Pelodiscus sinensis: one gene and its partner. The protein of the gene in region 1 interacts with the protein of each later gene in a pairwise test. Links are inferred from orthologs where the notes say so. Each region holds a gene or a part of one and is shown in the gene's direction. Other genes may lie near its edges.

What was found.
Region 2: the proteins of OTX1 (region 1) and VWC2L interact in binary tests that used the Homo sapiens proteins (3 or more experiments, as listed by UniProt). The two-hybrid records come from large-scale screens. The link is inferred for Pelodiscus sinensis from reciprocal best matches to the Homo sapiens genes OTX1 and VWC2L.

The regions. Positions count from the first base shown.
Region 1 is NC_134713.1:185,274,536-185,282,593, reverse strand, and holds the start of OTX1 (homeobox protein OTX1), read left to right. Parts: upstream 1-4,831; 5' UTR 4,832-4,968; intron 4,969-6,457; exon of another isoform or gene 6,458-6,533; intron 6,534-7,602; 5' UTR 7,603-7,735; coding exon 7,736-7,832; intron 7,833-8,058. UniProt on the Homo sapiens protein: Probably plays a role in the development of the brain and the sense organs. Can bind to the BCD target sequence (BTS): 5'-TCTAATCCC-3'.
Region 2 is NC_134717.1:60,601,898-60,609,540, forward strand, and holds the start of VWC2L (von Willebrand factor C domain-containing protein 2-like), read left to right. Parts: upstream 1-4,454; 5' UTR 4,455-4,986; intron 4,987-7,159; 5' UTR 7,160-7,236; coding exon 7,237-7,626; intron 7,627-7,643. Other genes in the region: SPAG16 (sperm-associated antigen 16 protein), read left to right, coding at 3,362-3,537.

The DNA.
Region 1 (8,058 bases):
AATGTGCTATATTTACCAGTGTTTATTTCAGAAACGTTTTACATTTTATTGTATGTATAATATAAATTAAGACTGTCTGATTCGCTCCGAGACCAGTTCTTTACCATGTGATTTGAAAAGAGCCTTGTGATCTGAAGATGTGGTGTGAGATGGGGCTAATTGAAGTGCATCAGTTTACAGAAACATTTTGTCATTAAAGGCTACGCCATTTTTTTATAATTATTTATTACATCTAGTTTTGTTCCCTTCTCCATTTTGTTGGCTCCAGAATGCTGTTCATATTTATTCAGTAGCTATTAAAGTCTGTTCTGCCATTGTGTGCAAACCCCCTCTCAGTTAGAGTTCCTTTTGCTTCCATTGCTCGCTCATTTTTGTGAAAACTGTTATTTATTACAATACTGAGTCATATATAAATTTTCAATAAAAGCTGAATCTTTCTTACCGTTAACTGTTGCTGTCTTCTCTTCCCAGTGTGAAAAGTTTACTTCTGATTGTTTGGGGGGAGGGGAGATGGGGAAAGGTTTATTTAATTTTTAAAATGAATTTGTAAAAAATGATTTGCAAATGCAACAGCTTCCTACCTGGCACCAGTCTAGAGGCAAAAGATACACCTTCAGATACAAAAATAGAATTTTCTTTTGGGGGTGAGGATTAAAAAGCCATGGCCTTGGTTTTATTTGTAAAACTTTTCCAGATACAAGTCTTGTTTGTCCAAGAAGGTTCCAATTTCTCTTTTTTTGGAACCTGTTCCGGTTTACATTAAGATTTTGCAAATCAGACCTCTGGTCACTGCTACTTTGTCCAAGATTTTCAGAACTGGCCACAGTGCATCGTTTTCTTCACCTTCCTTTGCAGTGGCTTGCCTTTTTATAGCTCAGCGGGCCAGATCAAAGCTCTTTGTCAACTCTCAGCGAACTGCAATTTTTTAAAAAATTGTATTTAGTGATAGAACCACCAAGCCAGACAAAAAGTTCAACTTTTGACATGGCGCAGCCGTATGCCTGTATCCGCCTGCTCAACTCATTCCAGTAGCAAACCAGCCCTCTCCCTAACAAAAGGAAGTCTGTTCGACAAATTGGGAAGACCTGAAAATAATAATGCGGCAGGTTTAGGCTTCAGAGTGCCAGCGAAGTTTTACAAGAGACTATAAATCATGCCTCAGTTAGGAAAGGACAGCCCAGCCGGCGCATACAGGAATGCTGCCGCTCAAATCTGCGCCTCCCAGGCCGGGGGAAAAGTTCGTGCGAAGTTTCTGGGACGGGACCCAGTGGCTCCGCGGGCACTTTGGGGGAGCTGGCCCCGCCACCTTCCTGCGCCATGGAGCCCCGGTGAAAATCAAATCCCCTCATCCAATCGCTGCAAAATCCAGCCAAGTGGGGCTAGGGGAGAGTCCCATCTCAGCAGCTGCTCCTGCGCCTGCCGCCGCGGCTTGGAAGAGAGACGCGGTTTTCTGACCCGTGCGGAGAGAACACACGAGATGTTACCAAATCCACCTCGTGAATAATCCGGTTAAAATGATAAAGTGCCAGTGTAAATACCGGGGCTCTGGGCATGTGCCTTCGGATCTGCCCATCATGGGAATCCCTTGCCGAGGTGGTTCATATGCTAAATGAATTAAACCTCTTATCTCCTTTCACTGGGGGATGCGAATCGGGCCCGGATCTGCCTCCTTCTCCCCCTCGCCCTTTGACTCTATCACCCCCGCCCATCACCTCCGTTTCTGGGCTGTGTTCTCTCTTGCCGGCCTGCTGGACCAGCCGCTCTTGATTTGGCCCGAGACAAGTGCGCACTTTGGGGTGGTTAATGTAGGTTAACGCGCTTTCTCGGCGCCTAAGAGTCAGAGGAGAATTGGTTAATTCGCAGCGAACAGCTGTTCGCCCTCGCAGGGCCCTGGGCTGCGGAGCAGGAGCCTGTGCCAATGACACCGGCCACGGCGGAGTCCTCGCTGCTGCCTCCGCTCTGATGAAGGGGGAATAAGTTTTGACAGCTGGCGTCCTCTGGCCTTTTCCAACTGGCCCGTTCAGGGGCTGGGCCCGGCTCGCTTTGCCTTCCCGGGCGCAGGTTTCTCTGGCCCGGGCTCCAGGGGGTGGCTCAGCCCTCGGGCTGGGGCTGTGGGCTAGCGGGGGCGCGGAAGAAGAGGGTGCATGGAACCGGGAGGGGGAGACATGCTGGGGCACGGAGCACAGAGCGAGACGCGGGCGCTCCAGGGCAGCGCTGGCCACTAAGCCAAGGGGCTGAAATGCTCCGGGGGGAGGGGTCAGAAGCAGCGTCCACCGGGCTGTTCTCCGCCAGCAGGGTCCAGCCCCAGGCTCCGGGGCCGCTGCAGGGAGCAGGGAACTTGGGGGGCTTCTCCCCGCGGCATTGCCCGGTTGTTTGGCAAACTCGCTGCAGCCAGCTGAACTCCCGCCCCTCCCCCCCCCGTCCCAGCCAGCCCAGGGGCTCCTGGGTCAATGGGGGCGAGACAGTCAAACGCCCCCTCCCCCCGAGCGCCCCAACCCCTGTAGCTTCCCACGTGCCTCGGGGTCCTGCCCAGGCGCAGCAGGTGCTGCGGGATCCCGCGCACACGCCTCCGGTGCCCGGCTGCAGCCCTGGGACCCTACCCCCCTCCCGGGGGCCGAGAGGGGCTACGGGAAGGCCGGGCCCCGCAGGCGCTTACCTGTGCGCACCCAGCGCTCCCCCTTGCAGCGCGGTCCCTGGAGATGGGTGGGGGCAGGACGGGGTACCCTGACCGCCCCCCCTGCGCCTCCGCCGCGGCTGCTGCGCCGCCGCCTCTGCGTGCAGCCCCCAGCGCGGCGCCAAACTTTTCTCTCGCGCGCTCGCTCTGCGCCGTGTGCCCCCTGCCTCCCCCTAATCCCGGGCTTTTATGGGCTGCGCATTAAGAAAATTCGCCTGCAATTTGGGATTAGACAAGTGCTCTGATTGCACGGGCAGGGGCCAGTGCTACCTGATACCTCCCCGCTCCCAGCCCCAGCCTGTGGGGCTGAGCCCCAGCGCCAGAGCCAAGCTCCAAGCGGGAGCGGGCCGGGCAGCCGAGCCCCGGCTGGCCAAGCAACCCCCTCTCCTGCACGAATAACCGGGAGCCGATTGCTGGGGAGTTGGGCGCAGCCGAGAATATGGGCTTTTTGGCGAGCCTGGCCGGGCTCCCTTTGCCCGGGCGCGCGTTGGAGAACAGCCCTTCCTGCTTAAAAATCGGCCCCCAACTCCTGGCCTACCACCCTGGGACAAAGGTTCAGGTGCCTCAGCGGGGCTTGCTCCCTGTGCCTACAAAGGCAAAGGTAGGGACCCCGGGACTGGTGTCCCCTGACAGCCCTTTACTTTTTGTGAATGGGCTGCGGCGCCTTTGTTCCCCGGAGAAGTGCCCGTGTCGCTGACTTTTGTGGACTATAGAAAGATCTTGTAAACCCTCCTTTTCTTTCGTCCCTTCTCCTCCTTCTACCTCGCCCCCCCCCCCGCTTTGATTAGATGTCCCCTCATCGCCCGAAAAAAAATGTAATTTCGTTTGGGCCGGCGGTCACTTCCTTTGAACATTAGCTCGCTTTCAGCTCCAGCTTCAATGAGAAGGAGTTGATTTTGAGAGATCAACAAAAGACCCGCACCAAAGCCTTATTAAAGGTCCTAAGAAGATCGCCTGGACCCTTTGAGAAGCAGTTAGGGAAACAGTGTGCATCCATGATATTCTGTTACCGTGTTTTATTGGGACGCCAAAGGAAAGTGTCTCGTGAAAAACACTTACTTTGATGCCCGGCCGCGTTTAATTTATTTTGCTGGCAACGAGTTGATTTTTTTTTTTGCATGTTATTATTATTACCCCCTTTTCAGATTTCCCTTTGTGTTATTGGACATTCTCCTATTAAACTACAAAAAAAAGGAGTGATTCTTAGGAAGAGATTAGGGCCCTTCGTTAATATTTATGAGACGGCGCAACTTAAACATATATATGTCGAGATCATTGTGGGGCCTGAGAGCTTGGAGAGGGAAAGCCCAAGTTTATGGTCACCCATCGCCATTCCCTTCGCTTCCTTCGTTGTGTAGGTTTCACGAGCGGCGCGCTTCAAATAAAGGTTGGGACCGATTTTCAGAACGGGCACTTGGGATGTTTCGGAAAGGGGGAAACCCGTGAAACGAAACCCATCCCAGGCCAGCACAATCCTTCTCTCCCAGCCTAGGTCCTGCCCAAACACAAACGGGAACGAAAGGGGTGATTTGCAGGGCGTTGCCGGTGGCAGACCAGCCATCCCAGCCTTCCTTCGTGACATACATTTCTGCGCACTTAGGAGCCCTGGTTCGTACCGGAGCGTACGAAAAAACGGGGGTTGCAAACTTTGGGAGAGCGAGTGGAGTCGTAGAAGAAAAAGTCAGGCTGGGGCAGGACTGGGAAACCCACTAGAAGGAACTTGCTCCACATTCCGGGCGGCCCGGCTAGGCGCTGTCGCCCCTTGGAGTTCAGGTTTGCTCGCTGCGCGCCTAGGGAGAAGCGCTGCTCAGTGCGCGCGCAAATACAACTCAGCTTCACACAGACGCGCACGGGCAGCAATTAAACGCGCAGAAAGTTCCCTGTGGGCGCCGGGCTAGGCGGAGCGTACGCTAGTCCAGCCGGGGCACTCCGGGAGCCCCTCCCCCGAGCTAGTCCCGAGTCACTTGCACCCGGGACGGGCTTTGTCCGGGCAGGACAGCACCAGGGGCTGCGCCGCCGCCTGCCCCGGGGGAGCCGGCGCGCGCGGCAGGGCTGGGGTGGAGTGGGGAGCCGGAGAGGAGGGAGGGGGCGTGCAGAGGTAACCCGCATCCTGAGCTGCCATTGGCCAAGGCGGCTGTCAGTCAGGCTGGGGGAGGCCGGGGATTGGCGCCGGGCCGGTTACGCACTTGCCTCGCGCTCACATACAAGGGTAGGGCGGTGGAAAGGTGATCAATCTTCATCAGGCTACATTTCCAATCACCTAAGCGCCCGGGCCAGACCGCTCCTGCCACAAGGTAACGCGCTGGATGCGCTGCGGGGCCGGCTCCCCCCTGCCCTGCCCCACGCGCGGCCCCGGCGCCCCGCAGAACTTAGCGCTGCCCGCAAAGAAAGTGCAAGGAGCCGCCCCCACTCACCCCCCCCCCCGGGTGGCAGCGCGGGGCAGGGGGACAGTAGGGAGCCCGTTGCAAGCGCCCGGAATCTGGCCCGTCCGCTCCTGGCCGGGGCCTTAGCGGCAGCGCCCCAGGGGTACGGGCAGGTGAGGCTCCTGGTTCCTGCGCAATCTGTCCCGGCGCTATGGGCTGCAGGAGCTTCCCCCCCCCCCCCAGCCCGGACTTTCCGGGAGCAGCAGGGGCGCCCCGGCCCGTCTGCTCTGCCTGGCCCCTTGTGCGGCTGAGCCCGGCTCGGCACCTTGGCCCCTGGTGGAGCCGGGCGAGGCGCTCCGGGCTGCCCGCGTGTCCCCGCCAGACTTTGCAACTCCCCGGCCAAGTTCCGCTCCCTGGTAGCGCAGCTGGCGGGTCCCGCGCGGGGGTTGGCGAAGCCCTGCCCGGGGGTGCTGGTGGGTGTGGGACTCCTGGATTGTGTCTTAGCCGAATGTGCGGCGCCGTTCTCTCCCCGCCTCCTCCCCCTGCCTGGGAGGGTGCCGCTGTGGGGCTGGCAAAGAAACTTACATAATGGGGCCAAATCACTCCAGGCCCGGCCAGGCTCCTCTCCAGGAGCCGCTCAGAGGGAAGCAGGGCTTGGCCTGGCCTGGGGGAACCTGCTGCCTTCGATGCGCCACCGCCAAGCCACGGATCCTCTTTGGAGCCCTCTCTCCCGGCCTGGGGCGCTTCTGTGTCCATGGCGCTCTCTGGGACTAGAGGCGCGGGCGCCGATGCTGGTCGGGAGTCTCTGGGAGGATAAATCGGCCTCCACAGCACCCCTTGGCCTGGGAGGTTAGGACGCTTTGCAATGGACTCGGTACTTTCGGGAAATCCGCAGGAAAGTGCACACAGGCCTGTGGAAACCTCCTGCGTGCGTGTCCGCTCACTCCAAACTGCGAGCTAAACCGGACGCGCTTAATTTCCACCCAGACCCTAAAACCGAAACCCATTTACACTAGAGGGGATCCCAGCTGTCCAGTGCAACAGGTGATCCTGGGAGCTGGAACTACGGGTGCGGGGGGTGCCGTGTTTTCCATCTCATGCAGAGTTTACAGTTGGGTGCATTGGCGCTCAGCATATTACCCCCCCCCACACACACACACACACACACACTATACACATTGCTCCAGCACCCCTGGAGGATGTAAATTAATTTGGAAATGGCCTTAACGGCGAAAACAAACAAACAAACCCCTCCTCCCCCCTTTTTTAAATCTTTCTGGTGCAAATACAGGAAACTCAGCTGGAGACAACATGGCCCTGCACCCAATTAAAGTTTGTAGCAAGTGATTACTTGTGATTAGAGCCGCCACCATCTGTTGCAGGAATTCAGATTTTATTTTATTTGGTTGGTCTCTTCTAGTTTTTCTCGTGGCGGACACTGAGGGTGCTTAGGTGTCTGTGGCCTGCGGAGAGAGATTTCAGGAGCTGGGATCAAGGTTGTGGATTTTTACCTGGAAATTTTTACTTGGCTCTGAGGGGGGGAAATAGATACATTCCAGTTCCGCGGTCCCGCTTGTAAATTCTTTGCTGTTGGAGAACAGCAAGACAAACTGAATTGGCAGGAAACCGTGAGGCGACGGGTTTGAGTTGGCACTTCTCAAAGCCGGGTAAGGTCACCCAGCTAGGCAGAGCAATTCCCCCTTTTATTTATCCCTAGTGAGAGGACGTGAAAACTTCCTCCGTCACCCACACGCACCCCTTGTGCAAATTTGTTTATCACCCCTACGGGAGGAAACCCCTGGAATATGAATTTCAAAGTGCTTCTAAATCTGTTTGGGTTTTTTTAACTGCTACCCATTTCTAATTAAAATGTCCCCTTCTGCTCTCTCTTAAATTAATTATACGTCCCTCTTTTGATAGCTCGTTTTGATTTCTAATCCAATTATCTTTTTAAATAATTGCTTTATCTCCCCCCATCACTTGTACTGTGCCCTCCTCCAAGCCCCCACGGCGATTGTATGCTAATATGGCTCTGCTCTTTAAAAAAAAAACTCACTTCTCGTACTTTTTTTATTTCACTATGTTTGGGGGGGTGTCGGCCATATTGACTGTTCCCCCCGCACACCCTTCTCTAGACGCGCAACAACTTTCGAACAATAATACTGACCACGAAAAGGAGCGAAACTTTCGATTTTATTTGTACTGCGTGGGGTTTTGTTTTGGTTGTTTTGTTGGGTGGGTTGGTTGGTTGTTTTTTGGCGAAGAGAGAAATACAACTCCCTTTGCAACGAACAGGAGTCTGTGCTCTTGTGTCTTTTTGCAATCCACCTCCCCCCCCCCCCGCAAAAAAACCGATTTAATTTAATAGACGCACAAATAGGTAAAACTTCCCTGCGCTTTCGATTCATTTTAATGTGATCGGCGCCGCTCTTCTCTCGCGAATTCAAACTCCGAATCCCAGCGGTGTGTAGCGCGCCCTGCGAAGTCACCGGGTTTTGTCGATTCCGCTCCGAAGAGCTTCTGATGTTTGTCTTTTGTTCCGTGTGTATTTTGTTTTTCTTTTAGGGAGCGAGGAGACTGTTCTGCACCCGGATTTTCTGCCCTCGCCTGGAAGAACCCGTTTTGTGACTTCAAGACGTTTTAAGACTTTTTGTTTTGTTTTTGTGATCAATCGGGGAAAATCTTTCCAGCTTTTAGCATGATGTCTTACCTCAAACAGCCCCCCTATGGCATGAATGGGCTGGGGCTGACCGGACCTGCCATGGACTTACTGCACCCCTCCGTGGGTTACCCGGGTGAGCATCAAACCTCTTTAATTTCTACCCGCTTTGCCCCTCTACTAGTCACTTTACACGGCTTAGCTAGGCCTCGTACAGATCAAGTCGTTTTTCTCCTTCTCTTCTTGCAACGAAGAGAGATGGGATATTTCTGGCACTCCTCTGTACTTTCAAAATGTACCCGAGTATTTAAAAAAAAACCAGATTTGAGCGAACGAATCTGCTCGTTAGATTGTTTAAAAGT
Region 2 (7,643 bases), on another chromosome or scaffold:
GAAACATCTCTGGTCTGGCATGATTTGAGTTAGCCGAATGTCCACTTTTCATGAGTATGGCCAAGTTTCCCGCGGTCCCATAAAGTTTGTTTACAGCCACCAATCCAACTCTCTGTTCTGTGCTGTTATTTAGCTCTAATTTACTCCTAAATGTCCTCTAACAGCCCCATAAGCAGTAGAAGTGCTGGTAATGCTGCTAGACCTCCCATGGTCCAGAAAATTCTTTTGTTCAGATCTAGTCAGGTTCCGAGGGTACAGGACTAGAAAGATTCAGTCTGTACCTGTGTCTTTCAGACGTGATTTAACAGGCAAAGGCAATAAAGATGCACCATTTCATTAAGGCCTGTTCTACTCCCCTCGTGGTCAGCAAAAATGTTAACTAAACACTTAAATGTATTGTTTCAAATATGTATTTGAATTGATTTAGTTTTCTTAAAGTAAAGTAGGACTGTCCAAATCATCTCTTTTGAATCTAAGCCTTTGTTCCCATTTTAAAAGCTGAAATGTGATGGTAACCCCCTACCCAGCTATTTCAGGATTCAGACTCTGAGCTAAAAGTCATTTGTTTGCCTTTTAGGGGAAACCTCCCAGCAACTGCCTATAGAGTCTGGTTGCAAGTAAAATCCATATGTAGTGCTTCTGTCAGCAAAGACTTGCTAAGAGAGAGTTTATAATAAATATTTGCATCTGGTGCTTTGGACACTCTAATCTATCCTACTGATCTTTGCTGTGTCAGGCTTTGTTTTAGGTGAAGAAGCCCAGTAGTTATAAAGGTTTGCAAATGGGGCATATTTATCATGGTTAGCTCTACTTTCATACTTCCACCTACTGTACAAATAGCCATGACCACTCCCGGCATAACCAGTAATGAGATGGTCTCCATGCATTTTTAAGATGATATTGCCAAAACAATTTTGCGAACAGGAGACATTATTGTCTGAAGGGGCAGATAATCTATTTCCAGGATAAAAGTTACATCAGATTCTGCCTTGTAGCTTCAGTGTCCTTAAAATCACATTTTGGGGGGCCAGATTCTTCCCCACACACTTGCATGTGGTCATAAGTCCTGATCAAGCTATTCATAGAGTAAGGTTGCCAACATGTGGCCCTGTTTAAACTACTCTTGCTCACCCAACGATTGCTTCAATACCACATTGACTTTGTCAGCACTAATTCAACTTCTGTGGGTGATTTGTCTTTGCTTTGAGAGGGGGGAAAAAGTACTGTTTGATACATAAAAAGGGCTTTAATCATTGAGGGAATATTGAACCTGTGTCTAATAGCTAACAGTGTTTGACCAGAATCATGACTTGAAATACAATGATGGCTTTGTTGAGCAGCCCATCTGTGCCTTGGAAAGAATGTATTGATCTCTTGTTGGATATAGTTATTGCTGTGTGTCTATGCACATATGTCAAGATCCTGATTATAATTTTGAAGCAGAGAGATTCCCTCATCTGAGAAAATGAAGGGGGAGTCAAATGTACAGGTTGAACCTCTCTAATCCAGCACCCTTGGGACCTGACTGCTGCTGAACCAGAGAATTTGCTGAGCCATAGGAGGTCAATATTGTCCAGAATCATTACCAATTCTTCCACTGCTCAGTGGACTCCTAGAAGACATTTAGAGGTATATTAAAACTAAAGAACAGCACAGAACACTGAGACCCAGGACTGGTAGCTGCAAAGAAACTTTATGGGACCGTGGGAAACTAGGCCACACCCATGATAAGTGAACATCTAGGCCACACCCATAATAAGTGAACATCTGGCTAATTAAAATCATGCTGGACCACAGATATTAGCAGACCAGAGAGTGCTGGATTAGGGAGGTTCAGCCTGCATTGCTAGGTTTTACTGATGCTTTTTGTTTAAACTGCAAAATAAGAAATTTATAAATACATCCTGGACTTGTCCCAACTGATAAAATATAGAGGTAGCCTGATTTGTAAAGAAACATAAGGAAACTTTGGACTCTTTAAAATCTTTTCTCCCCCTTTTAACTGCTGTATCCACATCTGTATTAACTGTTTAATTAGGCTGGGAGTTTTCACTGGAACCTATCGGTGTTATGTGCCCAACTCCTGTTAATGTTCAGTGGATGTGAGGTGTCTAAACTCATCTAGGCACCTTCATATATTATGTTGAGAATATCAATATTAAATGTTGGTGGGCCTGGTTCTGGTTCAGGTTCATTTAGACCAAAGGCATCTTAATCCAGATGTGCTGACTGATTTCAGCAAAGGTACCTTCAATGAAGGTGCTTCTATGTGAATCAGAATTGGGCCCTATATTATGTCAAAATCCCAACTGCATGTATAAAATGATGAAGGCCACTCAAGCAAAAGAGTTGCCAGTCATTGTGGATAGTTCTCTGAAAACATCCACCCAGTGTGCAGTGGCAGTAGAAATAGTAAAGAGAATGTTAGGGATCATTAAGAAAGGGATAGAGAATAAGACCAAGAATATCTTATTCCTCTGTATAAATCCATGGTGCTCCCACATCTTGAACAGTGCATACAGATGTGGTTGCTTCATCTAAAAAAAGAGATATTGGCATTGGAAAAAGTTCAGAAAAGGGCAAAAATGATTAGTGGTATGGAGCAGCTACCATACGGAGAGAGGTTAACAAGACTGGGGCTTTTCAGCTTGGAAAAGAGACAACCAAGGGGGTATATGATAGAGGTCTATAAAATCATGACTGGTGTAGAAAAAAAGCGAATAAGGAAGAGTTAGTCACTCCTTTCCATAACAGAAGAACCAGGGATCACCAAGTGATATTAATAGGTTTAAAACCAACAAAAGGAAGTACTCCTTCATGCAACTCACAACCTGTGGAACTCCTTACCAGAGGATGTTGTGAAGTCCAAGACTGTAACAGGGTTCAAAAAAGAGCTAGATAAATTCATGGACGTTAGGTCCATCCATGGCTACTAGCCAGGATGGGTAGGGATGGTGTCCCTAGCCTCTTGTCAGAGCTGAGAATGGGTGACAGGGATGGATCACTTGATGATTCCTTGGTTCAGTTCATTTCTTTTGGGGCACCTAGTGTTGGCCAGGATACTGGGCTAGATGGGCCTTTTGTTTGACCCAATATGGTTGTTTTCCTGTTCTTAAACTAAAAACAAAGTACCTGACTTTCCAATGACCAGCCAGGCCAAATCCTTAGCTTCACTTTATCACTCTAAAATGGAGTCTGTTGTTATTGACTGGTGCTACTTTCCGATAATGGAGTTCGAGGATCTGAGATCTAGCATAGGGTATGCTACCTTTGGTGCATTGTATGAAAGAGTCCATGGCATAGGACTGGCTCCTGCAGACCTGGCCCTCTGGAGCTTTGATTCCTTTGCTCTGAATTGCAGGTCACCTTGTAGCCCTTGCGAGTAACGATGGCACGGTGAAGACCTTGAACGTCAGCTCGGGGCAGCTTTCCAGCCTGGCAGGCCATGAGGGCGAGGTGCAGAGCGTGGTCTTTGATCACAGGGCAGAGCACTTGCTGTCGGGGGGCTCGGATGGGACCGTCCGGCTGTGGTGCTGAGCCCCTGGAGGTGGCTGGATGGAAGAGGAGGAGCCAGGCTGCAGGGAACCAGCAGCAATCAGCTGGCTCAGCGCCTTCACTGCTGCGTGCGCGGGGAGCGCGTTTGTAGCTGGGCCCAATAAAACCCAGCGTGTCTGTGTATGTTGTTCTGTGTGTGTCTTTCAGGGCCCCGGGACCCTCCTGTGGGGGCTGCGGGAGCAGTAGCTTCCCAAGGACGCCTAATGCCAGCCCAGACGAATTGCAAAGAGCCTGGTTTGTTCCGTGGCACAGCCAGCTCCCGGCTTCCCCACCCCCAGCCTCGCCTGGGAGCTGCCTTGAAGTTTGACTAACGCAGCGACGTGGGGCATTCCCAACCCCCTCCCCCCAGTCTCTGGCTGGGCAGGAGCGCACAAGAGCTGGCGACAGGCGCCTGATCTCTGCCTCCTCCTGCAGGCGCGCCAGGGCGCTTCAGCCTTAGCACCGGCGCTGCCTGGGACTCAGCCCCGCCGTGGGCTGCCCGGGGCGGCTCTCCCCGGCTCGGAGCCGGCCCGTCTGGCTCTGGGGGAGGGCGGGGACGGGGGCGGGGTGGGTTTGCCCGCTCTGGCGCTCGGCGATGCCCCCACCCTGGAAGGGCTCCTAGCGGCCGGGGAGCCCAGCCCGTGCGGGGCGCTGTCCGCGGTACTGAAGGGATCCCCGACTGGGCACTGCGCGGCGCTGTCCACGGTGCAGAAGGACCGCGAGGGGGGCTGTCCGCGGTGCTGGAGGAAGCTGGGCTAGGATCTGCCCGGCGCTGTCCGCGGTGCTGAAGGGAACCCGGGCTGGGCACTGCGGGGCGCTGTCCGCGGTGCTGAAGGGAGTCCGGGCTGGGCTCTGCGGAGCGCTGTCTGCGGTGCTGAAGGGATCGGACAGGGGCGCTGTCCGCGGTACTGAAGGTAGCCGGGCTAGCAGTATGTGCCCCGCCGCAGAGCCGCTGCGCTCCGTGGGGCTGAAGCCCTGGGCAAGTTGCTCCCGTGCCTGAGCCGGCCAAGTCCCCTCCCTTGGCCCGGAGAGGGGGCGGACGCGGCGCCAGGGGATGCTGCCGCCTGCATGCCATCCGGGGCTGGCTCCCAGCCGCCGGTAGCTGCCGCGCAGCCAGCCCGTCCTCCTGCGGCGGGGGGTGTGGGGAGGCTCTCAGACGCCCAGACCCGCGGAAAGGCAGCTGGAGGCGATGCGTGCGCTGCTGCTGCTGCTGCTGCGGCTGAAGACCAGGGGGCTGCGAGCCACTCTCGCCTCCGGAGCGGCTCTGTGAAGCCTGAACGCTGGGCGAAGCTGCTTTCTCCGGTGGCGGCGGCTGCTCCGGGCTGGGACATGGGCAGGGATGCTCCGGGAGCCGGCGCTGGACGAGTGATGTGCTGCTAGTGCTAACAGATCGCCCAGCCGTTCCATCCAGGCTGGCCTGTGACCCCCGGCAGCTTTTCCCCAGCCTGCGAGGTGAGTAGCAATGACTCGGGGGGAGACCTGGCTTGCTCGCAGGGTCGGACCCATCGCTGGGCATGAGCAAGGATGGGAAAGTTGAGCTGCTCACTAATCCGTAGCTGAGCCGGGTTTGTTTACTTGGGGACCCGCTTCCCGAGAACGAAGCTGCAGTCGGGTCAGTTTCCTTCCCATTCGTTAGACTGGGTCTTTGGAATTGGTGTGTGGTAGCTAAGATTAGCCCACACCAGCACTGATTTATAATGCTTTGCTACTGAGTGCCTGGCCATCAAACTTGGGGTAGCTTCATTGGGCTGCTTGGCTCATTGCACATTACCTCAAATATCTGTTTCCCAGTTGCTCTTTTTTTTTTCGTAAATCTTCACTTGCCTGACCATAGAAAATTGATGCCTACCTGTGGCTTGGTAGGTGAGCAAAACTCTTTACTCTCCAAATCTCTAATGCAGACGTAGCTGGGTGCATCCCACTTAGAAAAAACAACAACACAGCATGCTACAACAGCTGTGGCTGGCAGTATTTCAGTGCCTTACCCTTGTGATAAAAACATAGCTAGCACTTCAATTAAGAGGATATCTTTTGATTTTGACAAAGCGTGTGTAATATCCGGTGTCTCCCTCTGTAGCAGTTTTGGGAAAACTGTCTTGCTTAGCAGGATCCGTTAGCTTATCTTGTGAGATTATAGCTTCCTCCTGATTCATTCTTTTTGACAGATTTTTAATATAATCTGAGTCGACAGGAAATGTCTCTTTGGGGAGGAGGAAGAGGAAACAGATCTCTATAAGTATGTGTGTATTGATGGGGGAGGGGTTGGTTGTGTCTGTGTTCAAATGCTCATAATTTTATTTATTCAAGTAGTCCTGTGTATGCTATTAGCAGGCAATCCATACCTGACTAGTAATAAACATAAAACTAATATTCCAGTTACTAAAAAGTTTCCTGCAAATACTTTTCACTCTAGGATGACCGTTCCTTGCCCCATTATCAGAAAACCAGCAAGAGACCCTTTTTCTGCTGGCATTACACTGAAGTCCAAATGGCATTTAGAAAAGGATTGAAAATGCACACCTTGATGACAGTGGTGTGACACACAACACAGACAATAAAGTAACAGCAAATCATATGTGGAGTGCTCTTTCCTGGGATAGGGATGGGCTTTCCTTCCTTTTCCAATCTGTCAATCATTACCTTGCCCATTTAAATATTATTCTCCATTGCCAAATCCGCTGGCTGTTCTATGTAGCTGTGCTGGCATACTAAGTTTTAGCATGGAGACTGTCACTAACCTAATGAGACAAATCTATTATGGTAATGCCGTGTACATGCCAGACATTTTAAAATACTGATCTATGAACTCCTCGCTGGACATTAATATAAGTCTGAAAACTGCTGCCCTGAAAAATGTCAGTGTCTAGAAATGCCAAATAAGGACAATTACACTACAGAAGAAGGAGAAGAAACCTACAGGCTTGACAGATGTTACCAGCCCAGCCTCTTTACCTTGCTCTGTAAAAATACCATATTTAAAACACTGAGGAATTCTAACTCTCTAAGCCTATATAAGATACAGGGTTTTGTTTTGTTTTGTTTTTCATATGGGAAGCTCAGATCAGACTAAAGCCCATATAATTCTTGTTTTACCTTCTGTGATTTTGTCTGATAAAGCTTCTCTGGCCTTTTTATCCTCTTGATTTTAAGAAACTGAGCCATGCATTGTAGAAAAGAGTAGGTAGTGGTTACACCAAAAAAGAAAGGAACTGTTTTGATCCCAAGTTCTGTGCCAGTGAACTGCCTACTTACTATTTCAATTTCAGGCAATTATTTCATTTCTTTGTGTTTCCAATGACCAATATTTTCCAAATAGGAAAAAGCAAACATTAGGCATCATGATAAACCAGCATTTGATTGGAGATTTTCTATAGGCCCTTGTATGCATGAACTGTATGTGTACATTTGTCTCTCTCTACATCTATACAAATGCACACTTTATTGGCCCTATGTAGCATGTGTTGTTTTTCTTAGGAATAACTGAGGAGAAAAAACTGCTTTCAGATTAAACAGTTTTTAACATCTGCATGTTTTGAAACCACTGGTGTGGGTTGAAAGTGTGGTCTTCCTATGTCTGCTTTTGTGACTATTTCAAGTTATTCTTATTTTAACTATTTGTTTTCAGACCACTCCTCTGGTACCCCTATGGAAGCAGCTGTTTCTATCTGAGATTAGGACCGTATATGGAAGTTGAGGAGGGGGATGGCTTGTCATATCCAAGAAGCATGCCTACTTCTGTTACTAATACCTGGGTTGGTCACCCCAGCTGCCATCAATCATGAAGACTACCCTGCCGATGAAGGCGACCAGACCTCCAGTAATGACAATCTGATCTTTGACGACTATCGAGGGAAAGGCTGTGTGGATGACAGTGGCTTTGTATACAAACTGGGAGAACGTTTTTTCCCAGGGCATTCCAACTGCCCTTGTGTCTGTACTGAGGATGGGCCTGTTTGTGATCAACCCGAATGTCCTAAAATCCACCCAAAGTGTACTAAAGTGGAACACAATGGATGTTGCCCGGAGTGCAAAGAAGTGAAAAATTTTTGTGAATATCATGGGAAAAATTACAAAATCTTGGAGGAGTTTAAGGTATGAGTGATCCTTAG